Daphnia pulex: one gene and its partner. The protein of the gene in region 1 purifies or fractionates together with the protein of each later gene. This does not show direct contact. Links are inferred from orthologs where the notes say so. Each region holds a gene or a part of one and is shown in the gene's direction. Other genes may lie near its edges.

What was found.
Region 2: the proteins of ubiquitin conjugation factor E4 A-like (region 1) and UBX domain-containing protein 4-like purify together in Homo sapiens (affinity purification with mass spectrometry; 3 studies listed by BioGRID and IntAct, counting the BioPlex papers as one, with this or other methods). This does not show direct contact. The link is inferred for Daphnia pulex from reciprocal best matches to the Homo sapiens genes UBE4A and UBXN4.

Annotation. Positions count from the first base shown.
Region 1 is NC_060021.1:167,967-171,632, reverse strand, and holds the start of ubiquitin conjugation factor E4 A-like, read left to right. Parts: upstream 1-783; 5' UTR 784-914; intron 915-979; 5' UTR 980-1,005; coding exon 1,006-1,960; intron 1,961-2,027; coding exon 2,028-2,533; intron 2,534-2,592; coding exon 2,593-3,155; intron 3,156-3,212; coding exon 3,213-3,609; intron 3,610-3,663; coding exon 3,664-3,666. Other genes in the region: T-complex protein 1 subunit theta-like, read right to left, coding at 1-136, 390-449.
Region 2 is NC_060018.1:8,416,126-8,419,879, reverse strand, and holds the start of UBX domain-containing protein 4-like, read left to right. Parts: upstream 1-1,550; 5' UTR 1,551-1,912; coding exon 1,913-2,123; intron 2,124-2,188; coding exon 2,189-2,346; intron 2,347-2,415; coding exon 2,416-2,573; intron 2,574-2,676; coding exon 2,677-3,117; intron 3,118-3,185; coding exon 3,186-3,310; intron 3,311-3,402; coding exon 3,403-3,565; intron 3,566-3,644; coding exon 3,645-3,754. Other genes in the region: mitochondrial potassium channel-like, read left to right, coding at 1-12, 79-876. UniProt on the Homo sapiens protein: Involved in endoplasmic reticulum-associated protein degradation (ERAD). Acts as a platform to recruit both UBQLN1 and VCP to the ER during ERAD.

The DNA of each region.
Region 1 (3,666 bases):
TAACAAAGAGTTTTCCCAAGTGATTGATAACCATTTTGTTCATGCCAATGGGACCATAAGCTGTCTGCACAGTTTCTGCTAGCTGCTTACAAGCACTGATGTTCCTGATGACAGCCTCTTCTAGACCTTGAAACATCTGTGGGGAAGAATTCAGGGTTTTTCATTACCAAATTAAGATTATTACGAAAATAAACGAAAAGATGTCTGGGAAAAAATTCCATCAGCTTTACTTAGTTCCCATAGTCAGGCATTCTAACATAAATGTTTCCTTCCATCGCTTAATAAAGCAAAGTTCAAAAACTCATTTTTTGACACACGTCGGGCATCACCAAGACGACCAGTCACGAGAAACGTCAGTTGAATCGGTAAAGTGTATAAATTGTTCTTACCCGCGAGCCCTCTTTCATCATTTGCTGGAAACCGGGTGGTTTAGGTACGTGCATCGCCATTTTTGAGAATTAAAGTTTCCAGCGACTTGATTTAAAGGAAATAATTAAAGAGACGTTGAATCAAGGAGTTGCCCTGTCGAAGCAACGTGCAGATTCACACCGGGTGACAATGGCTTCGTCTGAATGGTATGATTCAACAACGTTGACTAATAATCAACCAGATTTCCCATGCTTTTAAAAAGAATTCAAGAAAAATATACATTTTATTCATGTCCAAGATTATTATCTAAATTTGAAACAGAAAATTATTATTTAAAATAATTTTTTCATTAACCTTCTTATTTGTTTTTACATTTTTTCGTGACTGGCAAGAAAAAAATAGAAATTTCGAGAAAACCGTAGCAGAAGACATCTGGGAAACGTCAGTCAGCTGATCACATCAATGAAAACAAAATAAACATATTTTTGCATTGCTAATCATTTTCACAAATTGAAAAATATTAAGACACCTTGGATAAATTTGCGGTATAAATTTTCTTGTGAAAAATCCTATGTATTTGAAAGGAATTTAACAAATGTTATTGCAACAGGCGCTAATACCAAGAATCTGTATAAAATGACGGATAACAATCCCTTCCTCGCATTATTCAGCAAAGAAGTTGGAAACCCTAACGTAACGTCGGTTTCAGATGCACCAAGACAAGATTGTCACAATATTCCTAAGCAAGAGAATGGCAGGTTCAATGAATTTGCTGAAAATGTGTTTAGGCTCACACTCAAACCTCAGCAAATGAAAAATTCCACATTATTCTATATGAAGGACTTGTCCAAAGCCTTAAATCAAGAATGTTTCGATCAGACAGCACTGGACCAAGCTGTTCTCGAGTATGCCGTTGGACTGCAGCATTCGTTGGTTAATTATCTATTCCAGTGTTATGAGCGCTCTCTTACCCATGGTGATGAGCCAGAGATTCATGATGTAAGAAAAACCATCTTTGTCAACCTGGACTTGGCATTCTCTCAACCAGAATTGTTTCCTGAGCAAAATCTGCATGAAGATTTTCTTCAACTGCTCGCCTTCTCCTCTGAAGACACCTCTACATTTCTAGACAGTTTTGTACAACACCTTCTAGCACCCGAAAATCCTGCCGGTGTTACAGAGGTGTTTTTACCTTTATTTGCCAGCTTAAAAACCAAGCTGACCAACATGCACCTGCTAATGGGAAATCAAAGTGAATTGGACGCCATGATGGTCTTGAGCAAACAACCGACGCTGGCGAAAGACATGGTTTCTATTTCAATTTTGAATGAAAATATCATAGGCAAAGTTGGGAAGCAATGCGAGCAAACTCTACTGGGTTCCCTCTTCTTGTGCTCCTGCATTCCACGCGTCCCAGGAACGCCTTCAGACTTTTTCGACCGACCTTCAAGATCACCGCCCGGTGTTCACGCCACCACCGAAGGAAACATTTGGTCTGCCTCAGAGCGCATTATGGACAAAGTTTATAAAATATTCTATAACTTGTTTAAATCTTCACCGGAAGTTCAAAATCTCACCCGAAAATGGCTGGGTAATTTTAACCTTTTAATAAAAAACTTAAAAAAGGTGGAAATAATTTTCTTTTGTTGATTTTCTAGGGCAAGTATTGGAGTTAAACAAGGCTCGTGGGCAAATGTGGGCCCAGCATGATATGACAGCACAGGTCCACTGCGTTTCCGACGGATTCATGACCAATTTAGGTGCTGTGCTCCTTCAGCTCTGCCGGCCATTCTGTTCTACCGACGACCCGAAATCTTGCGATCGTCTCAGTAAAATTGACGCGACATTTTGTACCGCCAAAGAGACCAAAGACAATGGCGTGCACATTGCTGATCTGCACAAGGAAACGTGCCTCATTACGCAGGAGAACCGACCTGCAGCCAAAAGCCTTCCTTATTCATTTTCCACTGAGCTGTTTTACATGACCCACCGGGCCCTGGAGTTGGGCGCTAAAGCTGTTCACAGTCAAATGCTGCAGATGAGCCAGAATTTCAATCGCCTTCAAAGAGCTTACCAAGACGCCGAACAAAGTGGCCAAACTCCCGTAGCCCAGCAAATCCAAGAACGAATGGATGTCATGATGTCCAGCTACCTTTGTTTTAAGGTGAAAAAATTGAACCTTTATTTAAAATAGTCGTTGGTCTGACTTTATTTTTGTTACAGGCGGTTTTGTTAGTACCTGAATGGTTGAAAATGCAGTTCGAATTTATCATGGCCACATCCAAGTGGCTGTGTGGTACAGCGTTGGGTGTCCATCCGTCAAACGTGACGTCTTGTGACGTAAACAAGGAGCACTCGTCGGAATTGTTGACTTGCATTCCAGAATTTTGTTTGTCCAACGTCATGGACTTTGTTGTCTTTGTCAACCGCTTCTCTCCCGGCACGCTGGATCGAGGCCAACTGGACGATTTGCTGACTTTGATTGTAGTTTTCATGGGATCGCCAAACAGGCTTAAAAATCCGCACATGAGAGCCGGAATGGCTGAAATGTTGGACGGTTTGATGCCGCCGGATCGAGGCCATGCAGCTCCGCCCAGTTCGAGGACGGCTCTCTTCGTGAAACATCCCCGTGCCAACGATGTTGTCGGCACTCTTCTTCACGTTTTCGCTAGTATTGAAATGACTGGCCAAGGAGTGGCTTTCGAGCAGAAATTCAACTATAGGAGGCCCATGTACGCGGCCATGAAATTCCTCTGGAGTTTGAAACTTCATCAACGACAGTTCAAGTAATTCCACCTCCTTTTCAATAATTCAATTAACATAATGAATTTATTTTTGGCCAGGGTGCTGGCAGCGGAAGCGGAAGCCAACATGGAAGCCGCCCAACCGCCCTTGTTCCTTCAGTTTGTCAATCTCCTCATCAACGACGCCATTTATTTGCTGGACGAAGGACTGTCGTACATGGCCCAGCTGAAAGAGCAGCAACAACAGAGGGAAGACGGTTCGTGGCCAAATGTTCCAGCAGGTCCCCAGCGCCATCAAAGGGAGGCCACCTATCAGCACATAACGATGCTGGCCAGGTTCCACAATTTGATGGGTCGCGAAACGATCCGCATTCTTGAAATGATGACGACAGAAATCAAGGGAGTCTTTGTCCATTCAACAATGGTCGACAGGGTAGCCTCAATGCTCAACTACTTTCTCTTGCACTTGGTGGGGCCTAAAAAACGGGACTTTAAGGTAACGTAACTTCTTTTAAAATTGAAATTCTGACTAATTTTCTTTTTCTTATAGGTC
Region 2 (3,754 bases), on another chromosome or scaffold:
CGTGTTTTGCTGGTAATGTTTGCCAATTAAGATTTGTTAAATCACAGTCTAATTCTCTGTATTTTTATGTGTATTCAGTCAGAACAAAAATTTATCAAGTCTCAGGAAGACAGACGAGATCTACAAAGAAAAATAAGTCTTGTACAACTAAAATTACATGAACTTCATATTGAACTAGATCGAGTTCCACGGGGGGATGATAAATATCTTGCTCTCATTACCCAGGAACACTCTGTGATCAAGGAAGAAAAATTTCTAAAAGAAGACTTACAGTTGCTAGAAAAAGAAGAACGAGAAAATTTTGCTATCTTGTCACATACTGTAAGAGATTCTCATGAAAAAGAAAGAGCACAAGCTGAAAAAACTAAATATTGGTCAATTATTGGATCAGTTATGGGTACAATTGTTGGTGTTCTTGGATCCACAATCAACAATCATTTGAAAATGAAAGAGCTCAGAGAATTGGTTGAAAATGCAACTAAACACAACCACATACTTATGAATCCAGAAGAACTATCAACACATATTTCTTCTGCTGTACAGCAACATTTGCAAGCACCTCAAACAAGTCAAGATGTTTTAGAAGGAAAATGGAAGGAGTTAAAAAGTTCCTTGTTACAAACAATACAGCATGAATCTGAGGGCCAAAAAAAATCCCTCATAGAACTAAGCCAGCAATTCAAAGCCTCAAACAATACTGTAGTCAGCATGGACAATGTAAATACTATGGATGTAGAAAACTTTTTTTGTACAGCAGAGCAAAACATGAAAACTTTATTAGATCAGCAAGCACAGCATAGTAATAAACTCTTTGCCATCAGTGTTATTCTAATTCCAACTTGCACTTGGGTGTTATGCAAGCTTTTAAATCTTTAATTTACATATCCTCTGTGGGGTAGGAAAATAAATTTGTAAACTGTATTTTAATAGAGTAAATCTGATTCTGTAATACGAAGCATTATATCTTGTTTAAAACAAATAACTGATACTAATACGGAAAATTACAACCGGTAAACTTGTATGTGTGTTATTGCTGTGCTTTTGATATTTTTTAATTTTTATACGACATACGGGATTTCTCATTTTTGTTTCTTTAAAAAGGAGTTCGTTACTCGATCAGATTGGGTTGGGTTACAAAATTTATTTCCCTAAATTTAGTGTGTTTAAAATTAAGAGACCGAAACAAAAAAACTAGCTGAGCAATTTTATGCAAGCTTTTCTCGAAAATCCAACTGCTGCTCATTAAGCCTAATCTTTCTCAGTAATAAAAGAGAAAGGTGGTTAGGTTTAAGCTGGAATAGTAGTAAGAAGTAGGCCTACTTTCCGAGAAAAAAAAACGAGATTAGATTTAGATAGATTAAGCAGCTCGAAATGCGCACGTATCTATTAACGAAGTATTCAACCGTAAAATTTATAACATGACGTTGTGCGGTTGTAGGACTGTAACTCTTGAAAACAGCAGATATGAAATTCTGACATAACATTTGAATATTTCAATGAAAATAAAAGAATCACAATTTTATTTTTTTTTTATGAATGGAGGGGGGAGGATTAAATATCGAATATCGGTATGTTATTATCGAATTTTATTCAAACTTTTTTTAGTGTATTTATGATTTACGATTAAAAGTGCTTCAAGGAATAATCTTTCAATTGTTTATACTTTGTCTGTTTGTCTACCACATGGTCAGTGGTCATACGTTTGACTTTGCACAATTGCGGAGTGAAATCAATTTGCTATCATTGCTTGTCTTCTCCTAGAGCTCCGCCCCCTGGCCCCTACCTTAAAAGTTAAAACACACAAAACAGTAAACCTGTAGTCTGCTCACTGCTGTAGTGTACAGAAATATTATCATTCAGATTTATTGTCGGTCAAGATTCGAGAGTTTACAAATTCATAGAAAAAGAAAACATGCATTGGTTTCAAGGCAGTATTCCGGAAGCTATAATTGCTTCCCGCAATAGAAAATGTATATTTGTTGTTGTTGTTACAGCAGAAGATGAGGATTCACAACAACTTTTGACAAGATTAGAAGAAGAAAATGTTTCAAGTGTTTTCAATAGTTTTGTTTCTATTTCATTGAAAAGTGGTAGCGGTGAAGCCAACATGTTTAGTCAGTTGTGTAAGTAAACTTTTTTTTAAATAAATTATTTGATAATATTATTGCAACCTGATTATTTTCCTTAGATCCCCTTGTTGTCTTACCAGCAATTTATATGATTGGTCTACAAGGATCACCGTTGGAAGTAATTGGAGGGCTTGTTGATATCCCCACACTGTTGAGTAGAGCTCAGAAAGCTTTAAAGGTACATGATGAACAACAAAATGTTGCCCAAGCTTCACAGGTATTTAATTGAGTAAATGTTCAAATGTTTCTTATTATTATTTCATCAAATATTTTTTCAATAATTCAGATTGCTGAAGCGGAAGTATTACAGACAACATCTGAGAATATAGAACCATCTCAGGAAGAAGAAACCACTGAAAGTGGAAATCCTGGCAACAGTGAGGATGGTCCATCTGGTTTGTCATTGGAAGCTCGCTTGGAAAGAGCTGATCAGTTACTAGCTGCGTAAGTGCATGAATAGTCATTACTTATCATTGGATAACTTCAACTAATAATTTAATTTTGATGGCGTAGTTTTCGACACTTAATTAATATTTTTATTTTCCAGAGTACGTGAGAAGAAGATAGAAGAAGAACGTGAAAAAGAGAAAATTAAGGAGCGTGAGCGTCGGGAATTAGGTAAACAGCTTCAGCAGTTCAAAGAAGCACAACGTGAGCGCGAACAACGTGAACTGGCAGATTCACGCCAGAAGGAAAAACGAGAAGAAAAAGAAGCTTTAGAGAAAATTCGACAAAATATTGCCCAAGACAGGATAGATCGGGCTGCGCGATACCAAGCGGCTCAGACAAGCGAAGAAGAGCGACGACGTGCTGCTCAAAGTGCTCAAGAACAACTTCAACGTGAGAGAGCCTCAGCTGCTCGTAGTGCGTTTTCTCGGCTGCAGTTTCGTTTGCCTGACGGTTCAACCCGTACAGAGCAATTTTCTTCTGACGTCAAGTTATCATCTGTCAACGAATTCATTGATCAACAAATTAAACCACCATTTAGGTTGTACATTTCTTGATGCTTAAATTTTTTAAGTGCACGTTCATTAATATTTCTCTTTATCGATCTAGACCATATTCTCTTAGTACTACATTCCCTCGTCGTGAGTTCCATGAATCGGATATGCAACAGACTTTACGGGAATTGGATCTGACTCCTTCTGCTGCTCTTCTTATTATCCCCATTGCTGGAACTGGTATGATTAGTGCCATTAATTTTTATTTCTATTTTGTGTGTGCATTCCAGAACATTTTTTTCCATTAAAGTACAAATATTAATTTTTATTAGGATTTAAGCCTCAGACTAATGGATCCGCCGGCAATACGTGGCTTAGTGCAATCTTCGCACCTCTATTTGGGATTTGGAACTGGATTTGGGGATTTTTTGCCAACCCTCCGCCGCGTGTAACTCATCAGGATTCAACAGCTCAGCCTCAACCAAATAGTCAAGGGTATTATTGATTTATTTTGATCACAAACTCTTTCACCAATCAGATGTTGAACCAACTTCTGTCACTGCAATTTTTTTAGTGTCCGTCGTCGGCGACCTGATAGTAACATCCATCGTTTATCCGACGCTAGCCCGGGGGACAGCAGCGATGATAATGGAACGTGGAACGGCAACTCAACACAGCAATTGT